Linked DNA regions of Arabidopsis thaliana. The protein of the gene in region 1 interacts with the protein of each later gene in a biochemical or structural test. Each region holds a gene or a part of one and is shown in the gene's direction. Other genes may lie near its edges. The genes, in order: AT4G08170, MPK16, MPK2 and MPK4.

What was found.
Region 2: of the proteins of AT4G08170 (region 1) and MPK16, one has a biochemical effect on the other in vitro, tested with the Arabidopsis thaliana proteins (one large-scale study listed by BioGRID).
Region 3: of the proteins of AT4G08170 (region 1) and MPK2, one has a biochemical effect on the other in vitro, tested with the Arabidopsis thaliana proteins (one large-scale study listed by BioGRID).
Region 4: of the proteins of AT4G08170 (region 1) and MPK4, one has a biochemical effect on the other in vitro, tested with the Arabidopsis thaliana proteins (one large-scale study listed by BioGRID).

The regions. Positions count from the first base shown.
Region 1 is NC_003075.7:5,162,680-5,168,980, reverse strand, and holds AT4G08170 (Inositol 1,3,4-trisphosphate 5/6-kinase family protein), read left to right. Parts: upstream 1-1,788; 5' UTR 1,789-1,980; coding exon 1,981-2,174; intron 2,175-2,609; coding exon 2,610-2,691; exon of another isoform or gene 2,692-2,886; coding exon of another isoform or gene 2,887-2,898; coding exon 2,899-2,931; exon of another isoform or gene 2,932-3,912; coding exon 3,913-4,033; intron 4,034-4,145; coding exon 4,146-4,238; intron 4,239-4,418; coding exon 4,419-4,538; intron 4,539-4,619; coding exon 4,620-4,796; intron 4,797-4,879; coding exon 4,880-4,935; intron 4,936-5,012; coding exon 5,013-5,097; intron 5,098-5,173; coding exon 5,174-5,274; 3' UTR 5,275-5,761; downstream 5,762-6,301. Other genes in the region: AT4G08160 (glycosyl hydrolase family 10 protein / carbohydrate-binding domain-containing protein), read left to right, coding at 6,287-6,301. UniProt on the Arabidopsis thaliana protein: Kinase that can phosphorylate various inositol polyphosphate such as Ins(3,4,5,6)P4 or Ins(1,3,4)P3. Phosphorylates Ins(3,4,5,6)P4 to form InsP5.
Region 2 is NC_003076.8:6,344,270-6,349,944, reverse strand, and holds MPK16 (mitogen-activated protein kinase 16), read left to right. Parts: upstream 1-1,677; 5' UTR 1,678-2,268; coding exon 2,269-2,292; intron 2,293-2,448; coding exon 2,449-2,857; intron 2,858-2,945; coding exon 2,946-3,073; intron 3,074-3,165; coding exon 3,166-3,225; intron 3,226-3,367; coding exon 3,368-3,517; intron 3,518-3,586; coding exon 3,587-3,742; intron 3,743-3,825; coding exon 3,826-4,037; intron 4,038-4,121; coding exon 4,122-4,226; intron 4,227-4,308; coding exon 4,309-4,481; intron 4,482-4,562; coding exon 4,563-4,849; 3' UTR 4,850-5,175; downstream 5,176-5,675. Other genes in the region: BPM1 (BTB-POZ and MATH domain 1), read right to left, coding at 5,304-5,485, 5,580-5,675.
Region 3 is NC_003070.9:21,882,171-21,886,584, forward strand, and holds MPK2 (mitogen-activated protein kinase homolog 2), read left to right. Parts: upstream 1-1,847; 5' UTR 1,848-2,037; intron 2,038-2,339; 5' UTR 2,340-2,350; coding exon 2,351-2,773; intron 2,774-2,865; coding exon 2,866-3,573; 3' UTR 3,574-3,881; downstream 3,882-4,414. Other genes in the region: ZCF61 (E3 Ubiquitin ligase family protein), read left to right, coding at 69-164, 241-381, 470-535, 611-723, 810-941, 1,028-1,071, 1,179-1,257, 1,360-1,462.
Region 4 is NC_003075.7:565,140-570,842, forward strand, and holds MPK4 (MAP kinase 4), read left to right. Parts: upstream 1-1,777; 5' UTR 1,778-2,079; coding exon 2,080-2,252; intron 2,253-2,383; coding exon 2,384-2,513; intron 2,514-2,581; coding exon 2,582-2,719; intron 2,720-2,908; coding exon 2,909-3,241; intron 3,242-3,321; coding exon 3,322-3,505; intron 3,506-3,577; coding exon 3,578-3,750; 3' UTR 3,751-4,008; coding exon of another isoform or gene 4,009-4,425; 3' UTR 4,426-4,583; coding exon of another isoform or gene 4,584-4,727; 3' UTR 4,728-4,865; coding exon of another isoform or gene 4,866-4,937; 3' UTR 4,938-5,102; downstream 5,103-5,703. Other genes in the region: BPS3 (BPS1-like protein), read left to right, coding at 8-1,054; AT4G01380 (plastocyanin-like domain-containing protein), read right to left, coding at 4,009-4,425, 4,584-4,727, 4,866-4,937; AT4G01390 (TRAF-like family protein), read right to left, coding at 5,103-5,251, 5,335-5,501, 5,590-5,703. UniProt on the Arabidopsis thaliana protein: The ANPs-MKK6-MPK4 module is involved in the regulation of plant cytokinesis during meiosis and mitosis. Essential to promote the progression of cytokinesis and for cellularization (formation of the cell plate) during male-specific meiosis.

The DNA.
Region 1 (6,301 bases):
TTCAAAATTTTCAATGAAAATTAAAATATTTTATCTGCTTTTTTCATTATGGTTGTTAATGTTCGTTTCACAAGCTTTAATGGTATCAAACTTTTACTCTTTTGAGGGTGTGGAGAAGTCTCCCAATGAGAGAGCTATGTTTCATCATGATGATTTTCTCTCCTAATCTTCATCCGAATAATCCCTAACACCATCTCAAGCACTATTAGGGATCTAATGTTATTTCGTTCGAGAATGAAGACAAAAAAGTATGAGGTTTAAAATTCATTCGTCTCTACGCTTCCCCAATATTTAGAGGCAGTTTACCATCTGCGTTTTAAGATCGATAATCTCTAGAAGGGATGATTGGCTCGGGTGGTGATGGGGCAAGATATGGTCTCTAACACGAGGAATGTGTACGTATATGGGTATCATTGTAAATCGGGAAAGAGTAATAGTCCAGCTAATCTATAACTTCGTGAACAAATCCTTGCGGTGCACAATAGGGACTTTCTAGTAATGCGACCTTCACTATGAGACTCTCACTTGAAGGAGCAAGAATCATCTTCATGAAAAATATTATGCCATTTAGAACATCATAAGTAGAGTTTCTAATACGTTAAAGAGATCCACACAGTCTCACTAGTTGAGATTTGTGTATTCTTCCTAAACCTTAAGGGATAATGCATCTACTCAAATTGTAATTTAGATTCTTGAAACCGGAGCATTAACTGCTCGAATACTCGAAAGTAGTTTGTGACAAGAGTTTCCAAAGTTGCAAAAGATCTCTTCCATCTAGAGTTGGGAGGGGATGACTTCTATGTGAATCCAAGATATCATGGTATTAAGAAACACATCTACAACATGCATCTCTCCAAATCAAAGAACCAATGGTTGAAGTAGTATGGCTTTTTGTTGAGAATCTTATAGGACTCTTTGAAGAAATGGTAAGATCATCAATTCTCAAAAAGCCAAAACAAAGTTTTCTCGAAAGCATGGGAAGATGAGTTGGGAAGATGAGTTCTAGTTAAGTCACTAAGAATGTGAGGACGTATTCGGAGGACCAAAAAGCTCAAAGTTAAAGTGATGTAGTAACTTAGCCGTTTATAAAGGGAAAGACGTACTATTTTAAGAGGAATTTTGAAGAAAGTTACCAATTTTAAAATTTAAAAGTATGTGAGATCTGCTTTTTTGAAATAAAATAATTTATTAAGTCTTTTTATACATAGAATATATATTCTTTTTAATGAAATTCTACCTAAGTTTTATTCACAAACATTCACTAATATCATTTATACAACCGTTTTGGTCATATAAATAGTTGTTGAGTTTTGATAAATTGATAAAAAATTATTTTACCTAATAAAATTATACAAAAATATTAATTTGTTTTTTTGCTAACTATATTATTTGAAAGAAAATTAGCTACATGATTTTCTCCTAAAACATTCATTTTGCGAATTATATCTAAAAAATTTAATCGTCTCTCAAACTTGTCAATACATTGATTTCAAATCCCGACCAACAATAAACTCTCCAAACTCAAACCAGATCGATCTATCTAACATTTTAAAAAATTCCAACCTAGATCATTCACGTTCTTAAACAACAACAAATCACAACTAGCTATATATCGGCTTGGCTCAGACAAAAATAAAACAGTGCAGTTCCAAGAATATGTTCAAATTGCAATATACATTTCTCATAATTAAAACATGTTTCTTTACCAAAAAAAAAAAAAAAACAACCGTTAGACACATACATGTGTACACATGTCCCTCACGCCGCTATAAATATTTCAGACCTCTCCCTACTCTCTCATAACCCACCCAAAATATCACAAGCACCGACTAAAACAATTCGGATCTAAACCCGACCCGGTAAAACCAATCCCAAATTTTACTCCGTTGTGAACGCATCAAACCCAGAAAATTTCTTCCTCCGATCTCGCATTCTCCACTTCCATAATCCCCAAAATTGTTTCGTTGATTTTTCCACAAGATGAAGCTAACGGACAACGAAGAGATCACCATGAACGGAACTCGAGAAATGGAGACGACAGAGCAAGAGACATCGTCGCCGTGTTCGTTAGTAATCGAAGCTTTTCCGGTGAAGAAATCCATTATTGTAGGTTACGCTCTTACATCAAAGAAGATTAAGAGCTTTTTACAACCAAAACTCGAAGGTTTAGCTAGGTTTGTGATTCTGATTTTTAACCCTAATTTTATTGTTTGTGCTATCAGATATTATTTAGGACTTAATCGAGCCAATTTTGAGGAAAACTGTTTACAAAAGTGATATGTACCTGTTCGGCACGAATTTTTTGTGTCAAATAGTCGGCTTTGATATTATTTAGGACTCAAATGAGCCAATTTAGAGGAAAATTGTTTACAAAAGTGATATGTAGCGGTTCCGCACGAATTTTTTGTGTGTCAAATAGTCCGCTTTGATATCATTTGCTTTCATGCATATTGTTAATGAACAAATTCTCAATTTTTTAAAATTAATTTTCATAAGAATATTCTCTTCACTATTTAATTGTTTGATTTTTCTTTTGGAATCTTTGACCTTCTATTGATGAAATGGTGTTACTATAAAGTTTAGTTACTGTAGTTATGTGTTTTGTGCAGGAATAAGGGGATATTATTTGTGGCAATAGATCAGAATAAGCCACTTTCAGAGCAGGGTCCGTTTGATATTGTGTTGCATAAGGTTAGTTTTATTGGATCTTTGTTAACCCTGTTGGTTTTCTGATACATTCATCTTATTTTTGCCTATGGTTTGTCAGAAGATATGTCTTGGGAACATCCCCTGCTCAGGTTGTTAGAAACTAACCTTGTTTTGCGTCTTCTTGCTTAGCTTCTTTTCATTGATGCCTGATTATTCTTATTTGGTGTTTGTTTTTACATGTACTGGCAGCAAATTGGAAAAGAATGGCGTCGAATTCTCGAGGTTAGTCTTACGATTGTTTCCGTTTTTGTATTTGCTGTGGCACATTCTATAGCCTAAGATTATTAGATCATGTATGTCTGTCATTCTGTGGTGATGAGTACCATGTTGATGTAGTTATGTTATATAAGCCTTTGTTAGATGAGAGATGGTGGTAAATTGCACAAGTTAGCAACTAGTTCCTTTTAATTTCTAAATCTTGTTTCTCAATGGAAATTTTTTTCCAGAGCTTTTACTCTTTCCTTGTCGTGAGTCATTAGTTGATACAAATTGAGGTTGAGACTACTGCAAGTGAGAATATTTCTACTTCCAGAGGCATAGAACTGTAACCTCTTCAGGTTTTCTAGAGTTAGATACTAGTAATGTTTTTTGAATATTGGGTTTACATGTTCCTGGTAATAGTTGAATGCAAAATCATTTCATCTTTAAGTAGAATGTAATGCTCTCTTGTCTACATATATAAGAGCCATCATCTGATTTCTCGTTGGGGAACAAGACATTTCACATCTCATAATTGCTAGAAGAATAGAAATGAAAGTATGCTGTTTGGTGTAGAAAGTAATCGGCGTTTCTGTGTGTTTAGATCCTAGAGCTATTCAGATCTCAGGAGATCAGACTATGAATCATTAGAATGCCAACTTCTGAGTATAGTTGAATGCTAGATTTATACTCTTCAGATAGTATATACTGATGATATAGAAAAGTGTCTACAATGAAACTTTAGTTGCAAAGTGCAAGTTTCATCAGTAGATTAGTTTAATTCTTAATCTTAGTTGCAGGATAGTGAAGAGTTCAACGTTGGGGATACAGTTTTTAGACTGACACTGTCGCTGTGTTAATAATAATATCAATGTAGATCAATATCTCAGGAGATCTCAGCAATACAGAGATAGAAGTTTTCTGTTTATGACCATTAGCAGGGATGCACTTTTGGGTGTTGAAAAGTAGACTATGTGTGAGCATAACTGTTTCTAATAATTTCAGGAATTTAGGCTAGCACATCCAGATGTCACAGTTCTTGATCCTCCAGATGCAATACTACATCTCCGTAATCGTCAGTCAATGCTTCAGTGTGTTGCGGACATGAATCTGTCTGATAGTAATGGTAAATATTCATGTGTAATCACTTGCTATTTGCTGTTAGGGACGCTAAGGTTAAAGATTTTATTAGTAGAGTTCTGTGTATCTGAGTAGTAGAAGTTGCTCTGATTGTGCAGGACGCGTTGGTGTGCCCAAGCAATTGGTAATTAAAAAGGATGCATCTTCAATTCCGGAGGCTGTCAATAATGCTGGTCTGAGACTACCTCTTGGTATGATTCCCTCCTTATGTTCTGTTAATGACTTTCGTTTAGCTTCATGTGGCATCTTGTTGTCTATCACAAAAGCCACCATGGCCTGTGTTTGTTCAATTGGTGGGTGGCTGAAGTTTTAGTTGTGCATTATTAATGGATCTATAAGTAAATTATTTAATTTGATGTTTAAAATCGTAGTTGCAAAGCCATTGGTTGCTGATGGAAGTGCAAAGTCACATGAGCTTTCGCTGGCTTACGATCAACACTCCCTTCTGAAGCTCGAGCCTCCTCTTGTTCTTCAGGAGTTTGTTAACCATGGTATGAGATTTTAGTGGTTATCATTGCCTGTACTAGAACTTAGATAATTTGATTACCTATCTAAATGCTTGGCTTTCGCAGGAGGTGTTCTTTTCAAGGTTTACATTGTTGGGGAGGCTATTAGAGTTGTCCGGCGCTTCTCCCTACCTGATGTCTCTAGACGAGAACTCCCCAAATCAGCTGGTGTATTCCGCTTCCCACGGGTCTCTTGTGCTGCAGCTTCAGCTGATGATGCAGATCTGGACCCGAGCATTGCCGGTAAAATCCTCTTCATCATCAGTAAAAATCGTCTGCATTTTTCCTTTGATGAGGACCTAACAATATCCTCATTCTCGTTGCAGAGCTTCCACCACGTCCTCTGTTGGAGAGACTGGCAAAGGAACTCCGTCGTGGATTGGTATGTTTCAGTCCTCTCTACTATATATCCAAGCAGGAGTATTATATCAAACTCTACTGATCTCTAATTTGTTGCAGGGTCTAAGGCTGTTCAATTTAGACATAATTAGAGAGCACGGGACAAGAGATCGGTTTTATGTGATCGACATCAACTATTTCCCAGGCAAGTTTGATTTCCACACATTTTTTGCAATAGACTATCACAAACATGTGGTTTAAGAACAAAAGAACTTGCGCAGGGTACGGGAAAATGCCAGAGTATGAGCATGTATTCACTGATTTCTTACTGAGTGTGGTACAAAGCCAATGTAAGAAACGAGCTTTGGCAGATCAATACTAAACTCAACGGAGAGACCATTGTTCCTCCCCAAAGAAAAAAAGAAGATTAGTAGTCTATGCAATTTATTTCTGTACAGGACAAAGCACCGATTTCCCTCGATGTTGTTCTTTAGCTTCATTGTGCTGTACAAAAGAACAATGGAAGATTGCATTTAAAAGAAAATCCTTGGGACCTTTAGAGATTTAAGGATAGAGAATTGTCTGAATCTCACTACAATGTCACCATATCAAAAAGTGAATAGACCTTATGTCACACACTACTCATATGGGCATGGCTTCACTTTGTGACTGCTTCTATCTTTTGATTTGGTTGGCTTTGTACTATTTTGACCATAAATGTCATTTCTTTTGGTTTTAATCTGCTCTTATCTTTTGATCATGTCCTTGTTAGTTTGTTTGAAACTTGGAGTTTATAGTTTGGATCAGTTTTGGATGCACTCTTTTATGAGTAATCTTACAAAATTTACATCACAAATTGTTGATTATTGACTCTTTTATATAAAGTAGCTTTTAAACCTTATCTAGTACAACAATTTGGTTAGATCAATGTGAACCTTCTGAGGATAGAAACCATTTTGAAACCTTAAAAAATAGGTTTACTTGCATTGTAAGGTTTAATAAACACAAGTAGGAAAACGAAACCTGAGCTTCAGCTTTGAATTCTTTCGTTCTTTCACATGGTTGTCTATGACAACAATTGAAGCCTTCTATTTTAATTCAAGCAAACTACACTTTCCTGGGTTTAAGACAAAGCAATTGTAGTTTCTCTTTTTCTTCTTCAAATCACAAAATCAATAATGTTATTTTTTTCAAAGTATTGTGTCTAGCTCTTGCTTGTCTTGGAGTTCACTTGAAACTCTCTATGTTCTGTCTTTGACATAGAAGCATATATTATATATATATATATATCAGAGCAAGTTCCTCAACCCAACCAAAAAAACTAAAACCTCAAAAGCTTTTTAACAATTATCTTCTTTTTGTGTGTACTTAATCTTCTTCGCTTGGAACTTGCTATGGAGAAGAATACA
Region 2 (5,675 bases), on another chromosome or scaffold:
AAGAAGGATCCAGAGTTTGCTGCCTTGTTTCGAGTCAGATCCTCTTCAAGAACTGAACCAGTCAGCTCCAATCCACCTGATGCGCCTAATGCCACAACTGCTGGGATCGGACCTGAAGCTGTCGAACCTGAGGCTGTTGTAGCTAACCCAAACACTGGGTCATCTCCATCTGAGGCTTTCTAACATTCTGTATTAAGTTTCTTTTTCACTCATCAAAACTTGAATCTTTTGTTGGTTTGTTATGTAAAATTATTTGGCCTTCTAACATTCTGTATTCAGTTTCTTTTTCTGTACTTGAAACCTAAAATTTCAGCTTTTAAATATGAGTTTAAGGTTTCTTAATTAGTATTCAACTTCAAAGTTTAGTATAAAAATCCAATTAAGATAACCATTAAATATTGTTAAGTAGAACAGTAATCCCTATATTCAACAGTAATCATGCTTAAAACAAAACAGAAAAGAGTCGCTTATTTACCGCGAATCCATCGCAAACTTTACTACGGATTTGCGACTACAGATAAAAGCCACGCAAATCCATCGCAAATTTTGCGAGGCATTAGCGGGACAAAGAATTTGCGACTACTTTGCTACTGAAGTATTCCCTCGCAACTTGCGAGGAAAGAGCGAGGCTACTGTTGCAGCTAATATGCTACCGAGTACGTCCCTCGCAAATTGCGTGTGCTTCGCGAGTCTGGTCGTCCGTCGCAACTAGCGAGAAACTTGCGAGACCCGAAATTTGCTGTGAATTTGCTACGGATTGCTTCCCTTGCAAATTGCGTGTGTTTTGCGAGGCAACTTGTTCCTCGCAACATTTGCGAGGAACTTGCTACGAATTTGATTTTACGACGCGCGTTTTGCGAGGAACTGGAGTTCGTCGCAATTCCCTCGCTAAATGCTTTTTGCGAGAGACTAGCGACGGTTTCTTCCCTCGCAACTGGCGTGTTTTCTTGTAGTGACATCTACTTGAAGATTTAAAGCTTCGCTTTATTTATACGTTTGAAATCGATGCAAATGCAATTTTTCCAACCATGCAAAAGTTTACGCATGCAAGCACCTACAGTTATGAAGCAATTTCAAAGAACCCACCAAAGACAGAAGATATTAGATACGAAATACATATTTCAAATAAAATACTAGATTGACGATTGCATATATAAGTTTTTGTAAGTTTCTTGTACCATTGTACATAACTCATAAATATTGTCTCTAGATAATTAAGTATGTCTTATCGGTCAAATTCTATATCTTAAAAATAAGTAAGATTACTCATTAACTGCATACGAAAAAAAATTTAAACCACTCATTTCAATCGGATTCGAAATATAGGATAATCCACTTCATTTATATGTCTTTAACAACGACTATGACACGAAAGAAAATTATAAAGTAAACGAACTATTTATTATTGTAATAATTATAAGTCATCACTAATCCATAATAAATCGGATATCTATTCATTAAGAAGAGCATATATTAAAATAGTTTATACAAAAATATCCACACTGTATTATATTCGACGTTTGGACATTATCCAAAAGCTAGATTTAAGACAAAAGTCGCAAGTACCCATAAACCTTGGGGGGCAAATTGGAGTTTTCGTACAACGATAATCAGACTCCACTTATCCGCTTTTTTCAATTATCACAATAAAAGAAACGAATAATAATAATATTTTAATAATTTGTTCTGTTCTGTTCTTCATCTCATAGATCTCTCCTCTCTACACTTTCTTCTACAAAAGTGAGCAAATAAACTTGCCTCTTCGTCTGCTTCGTGAGATTTCAGATCCTGTAAAGAAATTTTATTAGCTCAAAAGAATCATTTTTGGGTTTCTGAACCATAAAAGCTTCTCTCGACTTTCAAAAACTCTCTCCTTTTTCCTTTTAGCCATTTCAAGCAGAGAGATTGATCGAAGAAGATAAAAACCTCGTCTTTCTTCAATCTCAGTGATTCTCAAATTACCCATCGCTTCCTTCTTTTGATCTCTTTGATTTCACTTCAAAAAGCAAAGAAATCTCGATTAGGTTATTCCTTGTTTCACCCCATAAATTTGCCTCCTTTTTTTTGGTCTCGGGAACTACTCTGATTTGTTTCAATCGATTCTGGATTTCGGGATTTGGATATAGAGCTCTCTGTTTTTGACATTGCCTTTGGAACTAAAATTCTCAGTCTTTGCATTTTTTTGATTCAAAAGCTCACTAAGTTTGGGTTTCAGAAGCTATTACATTTGGTCTTCGTAAGCGTCCTTTGAATGCCCTGTAGCTGAAGATGCAGCCTGATCACCGCAAAAAGGTCCAATTTTTCAATCTCTTATGTATCAGATTTGCTTATTAGAACTGATTAGGATCTGTAGCAATCCTTTTTACTGTTACTGCCTTTTAGTTTAGTCCTAATCTTTCTCTGTATTGAAGCTTTTGATATTGACAATAGATTTTTCTGTATATTCAGTCATCAGTTGAGGTAGATTTCTTCACGGAATATGGTGAAGGAAGCAGATACAGAATAGAGGAAGTGATTGGTAAAGGAAGTTATGGAGTTGTCTGTTCTGCTTACGATACACATACCGGAGAGAAAGTTGCGATTAAGAAAATCAATGATATCTTTGAGCATGTTTCGGATGCAACTCGCATTCTTCGTGAGATCAAACTTCTTAGACTCTTACGCCATCCTGACATTGTTGAGATCAAACACATCTTGTTGCCGCCTTCAAGAAGAGAGTTTCGAGACATTTACGTGGTTTTCGAGCTTATGGAATCTGATTTGCATCAGGTTATTAAGGCAAATGATGATTTGACTCCTGAGCATTATCAGTTTTTCCTCTATCAGCTTCTTCGTGGCCTCAAGTATATACACACAGGTTAAGCTAGCGAGCAATAAAATTTCATTGATTAGTATAAGTTTATGATTATCTTTCTGAAAATACTTTTTTTTTCTCTTCCTTTCAGCTAATGTCTTTCATCGGGATCTTAAACCCAAAAACATATTGGCAAATGCTGATTGCAAACTCAAGATCTGTGATTTTGGACTTGCAAGAGTCGCATTCAATGATACACCGACTGCGATATTCTGGACTGTGAGTAGTAGTAATTTAAATGCTTACTCTTTACAAGTTTACTCTTTTTGGTATGAAACCAATTTTTTATTCCTACTGCTTTCTGATCGCAGGATTATGTAGCTACTCGATGGTACAGGGCTCCAGAACTATGTGGATCTTTTTTCTCAAAGGTGACCATGATTTTGTATATATACTTTCATCGAATGTTTCAAATTTTCATAGGGAATCTAGTCAGTAGACACTATAGCTCTCTCATTCAGATTATAAAATTTTATGGTAACATTTTTTTTCTTTATCTATGCTTCTGTTCAGTATACACCGGCAATAGATATATGGAGCATCGGGTGCATTTTTGCAGAACTCTTAACAGGGAAACCTCTTTTCCCCGGGAAAAATGTGGTCCATCAATTGGATCTGATGACGGATATGCTGGGAACTCCATCTGCTGAAGCCATTGGAAGGGTATGTGTTCCTTTCCACAATGCTTAAGCATTGTTTCTTTTTTTGGCTGAATTTCTTACACTGAAACAGGTTAGGAACGAGAAAGCTCGAAGATACTTGAGCAGCATGAGGAAGAAGAAGCCTATTCCTTTTTCACATAAGTTCCCACATACTGATCCTCTTGCTCTTCGTCTTCTAGAAAAGATGTTGTCTTTTGAACCCAAGGACCGGCCTACAGCTGAAGAGGTGGTTCATACATTTCGTTCTTTACACTCCTTATGATGTAACTTTGGTTATAGCTAACTAAATGGTTTTATGTGTTACCTCAGGCGCTTGCAGATGTGTACTTCAAGGGTTTAGCTAAGGTTGAAAGAGAGCCTTCTGCTCAACCTGTCACAAAGTTGGAATTTGAGTTTGAAAGGCGGAGGATCACAAAAGAAGACGTCCGAGAGCTCATATACAGAGAGTCTCTGGAGTACCACCCAAAGATGCTGAAAGAATACTTGGATGGATCAGAGCCAACTAACTTTATGTACCCGAGGTACCGGCCTGAGCTGACCTGCTTCATACTATACTCCTGTGTATTATCCATGTTCTTATGGTTAATGTATTATTCATTCTGCAGTGCGGTGGAACATTTCAAGAAACAATTTGCTTACCTCGAGGAACACTACAAGAATGGTACTTCTCATAATCCCCCTGAGAGGCAACAGCATGCATCATTACCAAGGTATGCTTTACGTCCTTTAAAAATTTGATCATTTGGGATTCTTTCGAAACAGCTCAACAAAGCCTCTTTTTATGTTTTGCAGGGCTTGCGTATTGTACTCTGATAACAATCATCCGGTGGCACAACAGAGTTCAGCTGAAGTCACTGATGGACTCTCCAAGTGTAGCATTAGAGACGAGAGACCTCGGGGTGCAGACAGGAATGCCCAGATGCCAATGTCGAGAATTCCTATCAACGTCCCTCAAACAATCCAAGGTCTCTCACCCTCTCTGTATATAATGTTATGATGCAGAATAACTCTGTCTCCTGAACATTTATCTGGTTGTAATGAAGCAGGTGCTGCAGTAGCTAGGCCTGGTAAAGTAGTTGGATCAGTGTTACGCTATAACAACTGCGGCGCAGCCACAGGCGTTGAAGCTCTTGAACAACAACAGAGAAGGATGGTCAGAAATCCAGCTGCTGCGTCTCAATACCCAAAGAGGACTCAACCTTGCAAAAGCAACAGAGGAGATGAAGATTGCGCCACCGCTGCTGAAGGTCCAAGTAGATTGAAGCCAAACACTCAGTATATACCACAAAAAGTGTCTGCAGCACAAGATACTGCAATGAGTCGCTGGTATTAAACATGATGTTATGGTTCTAGTTTTAGCTTTACCACCTCACGTCTCAGGGAGAGCTAAAAAGAGTATCCCTTTGAGTCATCCATTGTGTTATCAAGAGCCGAAACGTGAAGACATGCTTAAGAGCGAAATGAGAGAAGGAAGCGTGAGAAGATAAAAGAAGTTCTTACAGATCCTGTCATGTAATTTGTCTTCATAGTTTTGTATTCTTAAAACAACCTTTGTTTATCTACGTTGTAACACTTACACTGTCTACGATTCTTATATCCCATGAACTCAATCTGTTTCACCTAATAATCTGATATGCACCAACAATAAACCCCAAATTTCATTGGATCTTTGATTTATGAGAAAACGCGTTGAAAACGATTCATTGTACTTGCTAGATCCGATTAGATCAGCCATTATCCATAACAGAGATTATACAATGCACAAATCTTTCTTCTTTCTCTCCCATTCAGTGCAACCGGGGCTTCACTCGTCTTCCACTCGCGTCACAACCATCGGCAAATATTTCTTTTCGATGTCCAGATACTATAACAGAGTGTTCACTTAGCCTCGCCACATACTGCAATAGCTCCGTTAGTAAAGATGGGCAACTCTCTTTCAGATAATCAAACCCATCTGTTTGCATCACAGCTGATCATAACAAAAGGGAAAAAACAGACACAAGTCTCATCATGTGAACAGAGTTGATTCAGATCGATTAAAAAGAAAGATCTTGTGTGTTTACCTTTCAGGTTCTCTGGCAGTGCCACGAATTTGAGACACACTGCTTTTAGCTGCAAACAATGATGCTGCTCTGCTAGGGCCAAAGTAGTTGCAACCG
Region 3 (4,414 bases), on another chromosome or scaffold:
TGGATTAGATAATCTAGTTTTTCGTTTCTGTGATTTTGGATATGTTAAAAAGAAACGATTTTTTTCAGGCAGAACAACAGGTTTTGAGACGTAATTGGAGATTTTCATGGGTTCGAAATAGTACATTGATGCAGCCGATGACTAAGGAAGTCCCCTGGTATCTGGTATGTCTGTTGGACTTTGATTGGAGTGTATTACTTTCTAAAGTCATTTACAAAATATGATATTGGTTGCCTATAGGACGACGGGACAGGTCGTGTGAATGTAGATGTATCTCAAGGTGAATTAGGCTTGGCGTTGACGGTTGGTAGTGATGTATTTGAAAAGGCAGAGCCGGTATCGCTTGTTCAAGGAGCGTTGGGTTATCTTAAAGGCTTTAAGGTCTTTTCTTTTCCTTTCCTACCACTTTTCATTGATTTGCTTTTGTTTTGACAATGCTTATACATTGTGGCACCATTGTTGTCTATAGATACTTGGAGTAAGACACGTTGAGCGTGTTGTCCCAATTGGTACACCGCTTACAGTTGTTGGTGAGGTATGTCTTTTATCTGTTAGCGGTCCAAAATACGTTTTATATCTCTCTTTGTTATGTTGCTTACCATGTTAACAGGCTGTTAGGGATGGCATGGGGAATGTCAGGATTCAAAAACCTGAGCAAGGACCTTTCTACGTCACTTATATACCGCTAGATCAGCTCATCTCTAAATTGGGAGATTTGTCAAGGTTGTTTCTTTTCTCTGTTTTTGCCTATTCTTTTCTTCGAAAACTATGATTGAAAAAAATTCTAAAAGATCTCTTTCTTTTGGCAGGAGGTTCAAGTATGCCTCCATGGGTTTAACTGTTCTTGGTGTGATTCTTATTTCAAAGCCTGTGATTGAATATATTCTAAAGAGAATTGAAGATACTCTAGAAAGAAGGCGGCGACAATTCGCACTGAAAAGGTATGACGCACCCTAACCACAGCCACGTATGAAGTATTCATTGCGAGTTGCGAGTTGCGAGTTAAGTGTTGGGTAACTTGTTGCAGAGTTGTTGATGCAGCTGCTAGGAGAGCCAAACCAGTAACTGGAGGTAGTAATAGTATCTATCCATTAGAGTTTGTACTTTGTAGTAGTAACATGTGAATCCTTTTTCTGCATACACTTGGAATTGCTCTGCTTACAAAAACGTCTTACCAGGTGGTACAAGCAGAGATGGTGATACACCTGATCTCTGTGTGGTTTGCCTTGACCAGAAGTATAACACCGCTTTTGTTGAGTAAGTATAAGACCGCTTTTCTTCTAAAAGCTCTTGAAAACCCTCTCACTGATCAAACATGGCATCTTTTGATTCCTCTTTTTGTTTGGTTTGGACTTGTAGGTGTGGTCATATGTGCTGCTGCACACCATGCTCCTTGCAACTAAGGACCTGTCCTCTTTGCCGGGAACGAATACAACAAGTTTTGAAAATTTACCGCCATTGAAGGACAAAACTCAGAACGATTTTTACAAGCGAACAATTACTAGTCTTGTACATATAGTAAAGCCTTTGTATCATGAGTTTTTGACTAGAAATTTTTTTGCATTGATAGATTGTGATTGAACAAATGCTAATATAAATTTCAAGCTTAGATTTACATTTACTAATGAAGTTATATAATCACGTTTCGATGTTAAAATAAGAAGTGAAAAAACGTGAACGGCAGGATTCGAACCTGCGCGGGCAAAGCCCACATGATTTCTAGTCATGCCCGATAACCACTCCGGCACGTCCACTTTTTGTTAATTCCTCACTATCTTAAATATCTAATTACCGTTAATTATTACAAATCAGGTTGGGCTTAATTAAGCCCAAAGTTAAAGACAGATTAGTGAAGGAGACAGAGAAAGAAACAGCTCTAAAATGGTAATGAACGAGAAACTAGAGAGTCAACGGTCATAGCGTTGACCAAATCTCTCACTCTCACCAGCCAAATCTCTCCAACTTCCTCTTTCTCTCCACCCAAATCTCGCCGGCGATCGTCACTGACGAATCTGATTCGTCCCCAACACTCAACGGGTAAGCTCTCTCTGCAAAATTCAGATCGTTCTAGCTCAATCTCAACATCGGATCAAGATTCAACTTTTGTTCTTTTCTCTTAAACAAAGCTTTTGATCATTAGTGAAATCTAAAATATTAACCTTTGAATCTGTAAACTTAAGCTTAGAGAACCCTAAGATCAAAACTAAAAATTTGATCTTTCATTGTCACTTGTTGGAAGCAATTCAAAATTCTGTGTTGTGTATATTTTCAAATTTGTGGATTGTTCCAATTTCGATAAAGTTTTGATTTTTATTCCTTTTGTTGTGTGTTTTTATAAGGAGGTAGAAGAATGGCGACTCCTGTTGATCCACCTAATGGAATTAGGAATCAAGGGAAGCATTACTTCTCAATGTGGCAAACACTTTTCGAGATCGATACCAAATACGTGCCTATCAAACCGATAGGCCGAGGCGCGTACGGTGTGGTTTGCTCTTCGGTTAACAGAGAGAGTAATGAGAGAGTGGCGATCAAGAAGATCCACAATGTGTTTGAGAATAGGATTGATGCGTTGAGGACTCTTAGGGAGCTCAAGCTTCTACGTCATCTTCGACATGAGAATGTGGTTGCTCTTAAAGATGTAATGATGGCTAATCATAAGAGAAGCTTTAAGGATGTTTATCTTGTTTATGAGCTTATGGATACTGATCTTCATCAGATTATTAAGTCTTCTCAAGTTCTAAGTAATGACCATTGCCAATACTTCTTGTTCCAGGTATGTGATTTGTTTGCATTTGCTTTTACCATTAGTGTGTGTTGTTTGCATTTGGTGTTTGCATTTACTTGCTTTTTATTTCTTTTGCATAGTTGCTTCGAGGGCTCAAGTATATTCATTCAGCAAACATTCTCCATCGGGATCTGAAACCCGGTAACCTCCTTGTGAATGCAAACTGCGACTTAAAGATATGTGACTTTGGGCTAGCGAGGACGAGCAACACCAAAGGTCAGTTCATGACTGAATATGTTGTGACTAGATGGTACCGAGCACCAGAGCTACTCCTCTGTTGTGACAACTATGGAACCTCCATTGATGTCTGGTCAGTCGGTTGCATATTCGCCGAGCTTCTTGGAAGAAAACCAGTATTCCCGGGAACAGAATGTCTAAACCAGATTAAACTCATCATTAACATTTTGGGTAGCCAGAGAGAGGAAGATCTCGAGTTTATAGATAACCCAAAAGCCAAAAGATACATAGAATCACTCCCTTACTCACCAGGGATATCATTCTCTCGTCTTTACCCGGGTGCAAATGTTTTAGCCATTGATCTGCTTCAGAAAATGCTCGTTCTTGACCCTTCGAAAAGGATTAGTGTCACGGAAGCGCTTCAACATCCTTACATGGCGCCTTTATATGACCCGAGTGCAAATCCTCCTGCTCAAGTTCCTATTGATCTCGATGTAGATGAAGACGAGGATTTGGGAGCAGAGATGATAAGAGAATTAATGTGGAAGGAAATGATTCATTATCATCCAGAAGCTGCTACCATAAACAACAATGAGGTCTCTGAGTTTTGAGATCAAGTCTTTTGCAGGTACTGTTCAGAGAGATCTTTCAACAACTTAAACTTATTTATTTTCATGTTTGCTTCTTGAAATGTTGTTAATAATAGTGTCGAAGAAGAAGAACAATAACTTTAAATTATGTGATATGTTTGTGTCATGGAGCTTTGTTTTGTTTTTGGTTACAAGCTTAAGTGTCTGTAACGTTTGTACATAAGTGTATGTGTCCTTAAAACTTCATACTCTGTCTCTGATCTTATTGTTGGTGATTTTTCTTATTGAAGATTTTCGAATGTTCAAAGAGCAAACCATTGGATTAAATATGATTTTGAAGATAAATGTATTAACACAAAGATATACACTGTTTAAAAAAATTCATGAAATAAAACATATGCATAGAATATCAAAATAAAATTATTTGGGAAATAATTTTCAATGATACATAGAATGTTCCATAGATTCGTAGAATTTTTATAAATGTGTTTTTGACTTTCATGTACCTAATTCTGAATTCAGACTTAGTATATTGTGACATTAATAGAAGTATTAATTGCTTTGTTTGATAAAAATATTTTGATGTCTATCACACACTTAAATTTAACTTAAATGATAGAAAAAATGTCAATAATTAGTAACATTTATGCTTTGGAAAAATATTTTGATGAACAGCGTGTGAATAAGAATCTTTTTTTACTTTTGTAAATGGAAAAATGTAGGACTGCACTAATTATTGAAACCATTGATGTGAAAAAAAAATCAAGAGCCAAAGAGATAAAGATTCTAGAAGACCAAGTCAAGTCTTCTCGTCGATTAATAGTCAATGAATGTTCCTCATCATCATCTCTTTGATTTATGC
Region 4 (5,703 bases), 4.6 Mb from region 1:
AGTTGATATGAGCCAACAACGTACACGCTCTCGGAACCCGTTCAAGATTCTGTTTACGAAGAAGAACAATGCTCGATTATCGCCAAAGCTTCTCTCACTGTTGAACAATTTCGAGACTAACTTGACGGTATCGATTAGAGAACTTGTACCAAAGGATAAGAATGATATCGTTAGTGTTTCTTGGATGATACAAGCCATGCAGTCTCTTTGTGAGACACACAAGAGTATCAGGACGCTCGTGAAGGATTTAGAGGTTCCAGTATCGGATTTGGAGGAGAATTTCATTTATATCTTCTCTGACTTTAGCTTGAAGCGGGAACTCTGCAACGCCTTTACCTCAGAGATATATCATTTGGAACATGGCAATCTATTACTAAAGTTTGCTTTTAGTAAGCTGGAGACAAACAGTGGCAATATTCTTCAGCGTTGGAATCAGCACATGGTTTCCAAGAACCCGAGTATCGAAAACTGGGGCGCGGTTTTGAGTAGGCTGGTTGAATCGATGGATCATCATCATCATATCTCCAAGAAGGGGAAGAAGAAATACTCTGCGGAAGGAAAAGTTCTCTTACGAGTTTTATACGGTGTAAAGGTCAAGACTTTATACATATTCAGCGTGTTTGATGCATCGTTCTCGGGTTCTTCCAAGAATCTCTTCTATCTAACCATTCCAAAGGAGATGGAGGAGCTTCCATGGGTTCAAGCTTTCATGGAACTGCAGAACACTATTAACCCGGAGATCAAAAACACATTTTTATCAGACGGATTCACGGTTATAAAAGATCTCGAGGCTGTTGAAACCGGTGTGAAGAAGCTTTACACAGCGGTACAAGAAGGGTCGGTTCCTATTTTGTTAGTGGAACCATTGGAGAAGTCAGTGATAGAACTTTCGGAAAGGTTTGAGCTAGTCTCCAAGGAAACACGTTGCTTGTCGAAGATGGTGATCTCTGCCCGAGACGCATTGTTGGAGAGCCTGTGGACGAAATGCGCAGAAGAGCTAGGAGTGACATTGCCAACGATGGTTAAAAGTGTTAATATAGAGGAAAAGAGCTAAGACTTGTTTGTGAATATAGAGGAAACATGTAATTATGGTATCGTTGATGTTAAGTAATAACAAATGCAGATAAAAATGAGACTTTAAAACGCTTCAAATATTGATAACTCTCTCTTTTCAATCGGTGCTAAGCTATAACTACATTTTCAAGTTAGTCAGAATTGTGCTTTAGTTCATCTTAGTTGATAATGGATAAGTGATGGGTTTGCTTGAGGCCCATTGTAAATCACTAGACCAAAAAAAATCAGTGTTATTTTCATGGTTACATGATCAATCAATCAAAGCAAACCAGATATTCTAGCTATTAATAATAACAAATGCACCAAACTTCAACATGGTTATATAAGTTGTTTAACCATGATTTTTTAAAAAAAATCAAAATGATGTCATTTTATCTTATACATAAACCTTTTTTCACTAATGGTTTTGGAATCAAAGGTCAGTTTTATGGTCAAAAACAATTTGGCCGCCCATTGACTTGTACACCACCAATATACCAAGTCGTACTTAAATTCTTATTGGAGAAAAGTTGTCATCTAGATTCTTTTAAACTTTATAATATGATATCAAGAACATTCCTACATGAAGTCATTAACTTGTTCCATTCTACAAACTTCATCAATTACATTTTTTCGGCAAAAGTCATAACCATATCTAATCTCTACTTCGTGGGATAACGCGATTTAGTAGAAGCAAACTCCAGTAAACAAAACTTAACCAATTGACTAAAAACACTTACCCGTTCCTCAATTACTTAGAGACACAATCATCGGATATACCCAACTCGATACCATAAACAAAATTGAAAATTGACATTACAAAGAAAAAGAACAAAAACCAAAGAAGAAGACGCAAACCCGGTTTAAGGGTCACGGGTGACTCGAGAGGAGACTTCCTCTTTACCGTTCAATAAAAAAAAAAGGGTAAAGGTAGAGACTTTATAACGAAATGTCAACACCCATCTTCTCGATTCCTCAATTTCTCTAGGGTTCTTCGTTTTCGTTGTTGTGAGGAATTTTGCTCCGATGTCGGCGGAGAGTTGTTTCGGAAGCTCGGGTGATCAAAGCAGCAGCAAAGGAGTGGCTACTCATGGTGGTAGCTATGTTCAGTATAATGTCTATGGCAATCTCTTCGAAGTTTCTAGAAAGTATGTTCCTCCTCTTCGTCCTATCGGTAGAGGCGCTTATGGAATTGTCTGGTGAGTTCCAAAATTAATCAGATTGGGTTTTTGAAACATGTAATGTTCACTTCTGGGGTTCTTAGATTTGGGAATTAGGGTTTTGGAATCTGTTGTTATTATAATAACTTGTGTTGATAATTGTTGATCAGTGCTGCTACAAACTCAGAGACTGGAGAGGAGGTAGCTATCAAGAAGATTGGTAATGCTTTTGACAATATTATCGATGCTAAAAGGACTTTGAGAGAGATTAAGCTTCTCAAGCATATGGATCATGAAAATGTACGTGTTACTAATCATCAGCATCTCTGGTTTTTTTTGTGTGAATCTTATATTGGTTTATTGTGCAGGTGATTGCTGTAAAGGATATAATAAAACCACCGCAGAGAGAGAACTTCAATGATGTTTACATTGTTTATGAGCTTATGGACACTGATCTCCACCAAATTATTCGCTCTAACCAACCCTTAACTGATGATCATTGTCGGGTATGCATCAATCTCCATCTTGCTTATATCTAGCAGCTGAATCTTCTGTTTCTACTTTAGAAGCAGCTGTTATTGTGTTAGAGCATCTGATGAGTATTGCTTGATACTTTATAAGTGAGAGCTAATAAGGATTTCGTTTGTTATGCTTTGAAGTTGTGTTTAGTAATTAGTTTCGATTATGTTTTGCAGTTTTTTCTGTATCAGTTGTTGCGTGGGCTCAAATATGTTCATTCAGCTAATGTATTGCATCGAGATTTGAAACCTAGCAATTTGCTCCTGAATGCAAATTGTGATCTAAAGCTTGGGGATTTCGGGCTTGCGAGGACCAAATCCGAGACTGACTTTATGACTGAATATGTTGTTACACGTTGGTATCGAGCTCCAGAGCTGCTACTTAATTGCTCTGAATACACAGCAGCAATTGATATTTGGTCTGTCGGTTGTATACTCGGTGAAACAATGACACGAGAGCCCTTGTTTCCCGGTAAAGATTATGTTCATCAGCTTAGACTCATCACTGAGGTAATCTAGTTTAGTATGTTTCATCCAAAGAATCACCACTTAGTCTCTCTTCACGGTATTAATGAATCTTTGGAAAGCAGCTTATAGGATCTCCTGATGACTCAAGCTTGGGATTCTTAAGAAGTGACAATGCAAGAAGATACGTTAGACAGCTTCCACAGTACCCTAGACAGAACTTTGCTGCTAGATTCCCAAACATGTCGGCTGGTGCAGTCGATTTGCTGGAGAAAATGCTTGTTTTTGATCCAAGCAGACGCATCACAGGTGAGTTATATTTTATATAACTGCTTCTCTGTTTCTTCGGCTATTTTCTGAACATGTTTTTTGTGTGTGTAGTTGATGAGGCGTTGTGCCACCCATATTTGGCGCCGCTGCATGATATCAACGAAGAACCGGTATGTGTGAGGCCGTTCAATTTTGATTTCGAGCAACCTACTTTGACAGAAGAGAACATTAAGGAGCTTATATACCGTGAAACAGTCAAGTTCAATCCTCAAGACTCAGTGTGAGAGAAAGAGAGAGAGATATATATCCTTAAAAGGAAACTCATCAAAATGCTATGTTTTGTTTTGCTCTGCTTTTGTTATCAAATCTCTGATAAGTTTGATAATATGTCTGTAATTTGAATAACATCCTAAAAAATTGGAAAAAAAGAAAAGAACAACCTTTGAGCTGTGTTTTGCAATAGAGTGTATTTAAATTTCCTTACTTTTTAGTCGAAAGAAAATACAGAGAAGTCTTAACTCTAATTACATCCACTAATTATCTTAATGATGGGGTTGAGGTCCGAAGGTGCGTAACCATCTGTTGAAGCGGTCCATAAGTGACAACTCTATCTTCTTCGTCGGAACATTGGGGACAGGTACGGCTTTGGTGAGTGGTCCGACCACGACTCGTAGCTTAAGCCCAGCGTAACAGTGACCTGGAGTCTTAGAGCTAATGAAATAATGGACTCCTGGTTCTGTGAGCGTGACGAGATCGTGGCCTGTCATGTGCACGGCTACGGGAGAAATCGGGTAGCAGGATATGAATTCAAGGTCCCCGCTGATCTCTAAGACGTCGTTGACTTCGTTGTCGTATTCGAAAAGAAGACTGTCTCCGATCGGAAACTGCGTCTTCTCACTCCATCTGTAATAAAAGTAACTTTCTTGCGGAACACTCCATCCCTTGGAGCCACACCAACTCTGTAGATATTTCAAGGAGGAAGGATCTTGCTCGGTGGTGTTGGAGGAATGGGACGTGACGAGTCATGAACGACAAGAATGTCGAGCTTCTGTCCCGATGCGCATTGAGCATGGTTTGAGCTGATGAACTAGTGAAAACCTGGTTCCGTGAGGGTTACGATATCGTGTCCAGGGTTGTAGACGGCTTTAGGAGAAGAAGAGTCGCAGAACTCGTATTCCAAAGCGCCGGAGACTTGAGTGACGTCGTTGAGGTTGTGATTGTGTTCGAAGATCAAAGAATCCCCAACGTGGAACACAAGTTTCTTTTGGCAAACAAATTATGTCTTTTCTTTTGGCGTTTTTCTCATATATATAGGTAGTAAAAGCAATGGAATGCTCACGATTCCTTGAAAAAAAAACAAGATCTTATTTGCAAAACAAAACTAACAAGAAACAATAACGATTGAGAACCAAGTCTCTATAGTTGATAAACTGGGCTTATGAAATCTTGTAGATTGTCTTGTTATGCCCATAAACTGAAAATACACGCCAAGCACATCATCTTCATCTCCAGCAACACGTACGTCGACACACATCACAAGTCATTACGGCATCAGTAGCTTAGTTACATAATAGTACTATATATATTCTCCAGCATTTTATTCATACGTTATAAATATTTCTTGCTGATTATATAGCTAACAGTAATTAGAGACGGAAATGACATCAAAGTCAACTCCCACATAAAGCTTATCCTTCACCAAATAAGGGTCATCAAGTTCCCCTAGAGGCATGAAATCCGCAAAGCCATGGCGGTCATCAGGTTCTGCACCAAGCCAACCCGAAACTATACGTACCAGGAGAAAAAGATTAGTACTGTATTTAACCATCATGCATCACAAGACTTTCCAAAACATAATAAACACATACTTGTTTTCTCAACATGATTCCTGCTAACTTGATCCAATACACGCAGCTTGAACCTCGCGTAAGTTTTAGTCTTTGGTGCATTATTGACAAACCCTAGTGCCGATAGATACACAGAAAATGATTTGTCTTTTTCACCCATAGACCCTCTTGGATGAACTTTAATTCTCCTGATCAAATATATTGTGATGCATTTTTATTAGTATTATATATAAGTTGTGTTATGTTTTTGGGAAAAAGGAGGAATATAATATCAACCATTTCCGGGTTCCAACGACAAATTCATTAGACTGATGAACGTTTCCAGGGTTGAAGGACGAGAACATGGTCATCATCCAAGTGACTCTGTGATTAAGAGGCTTCTCTATTAAG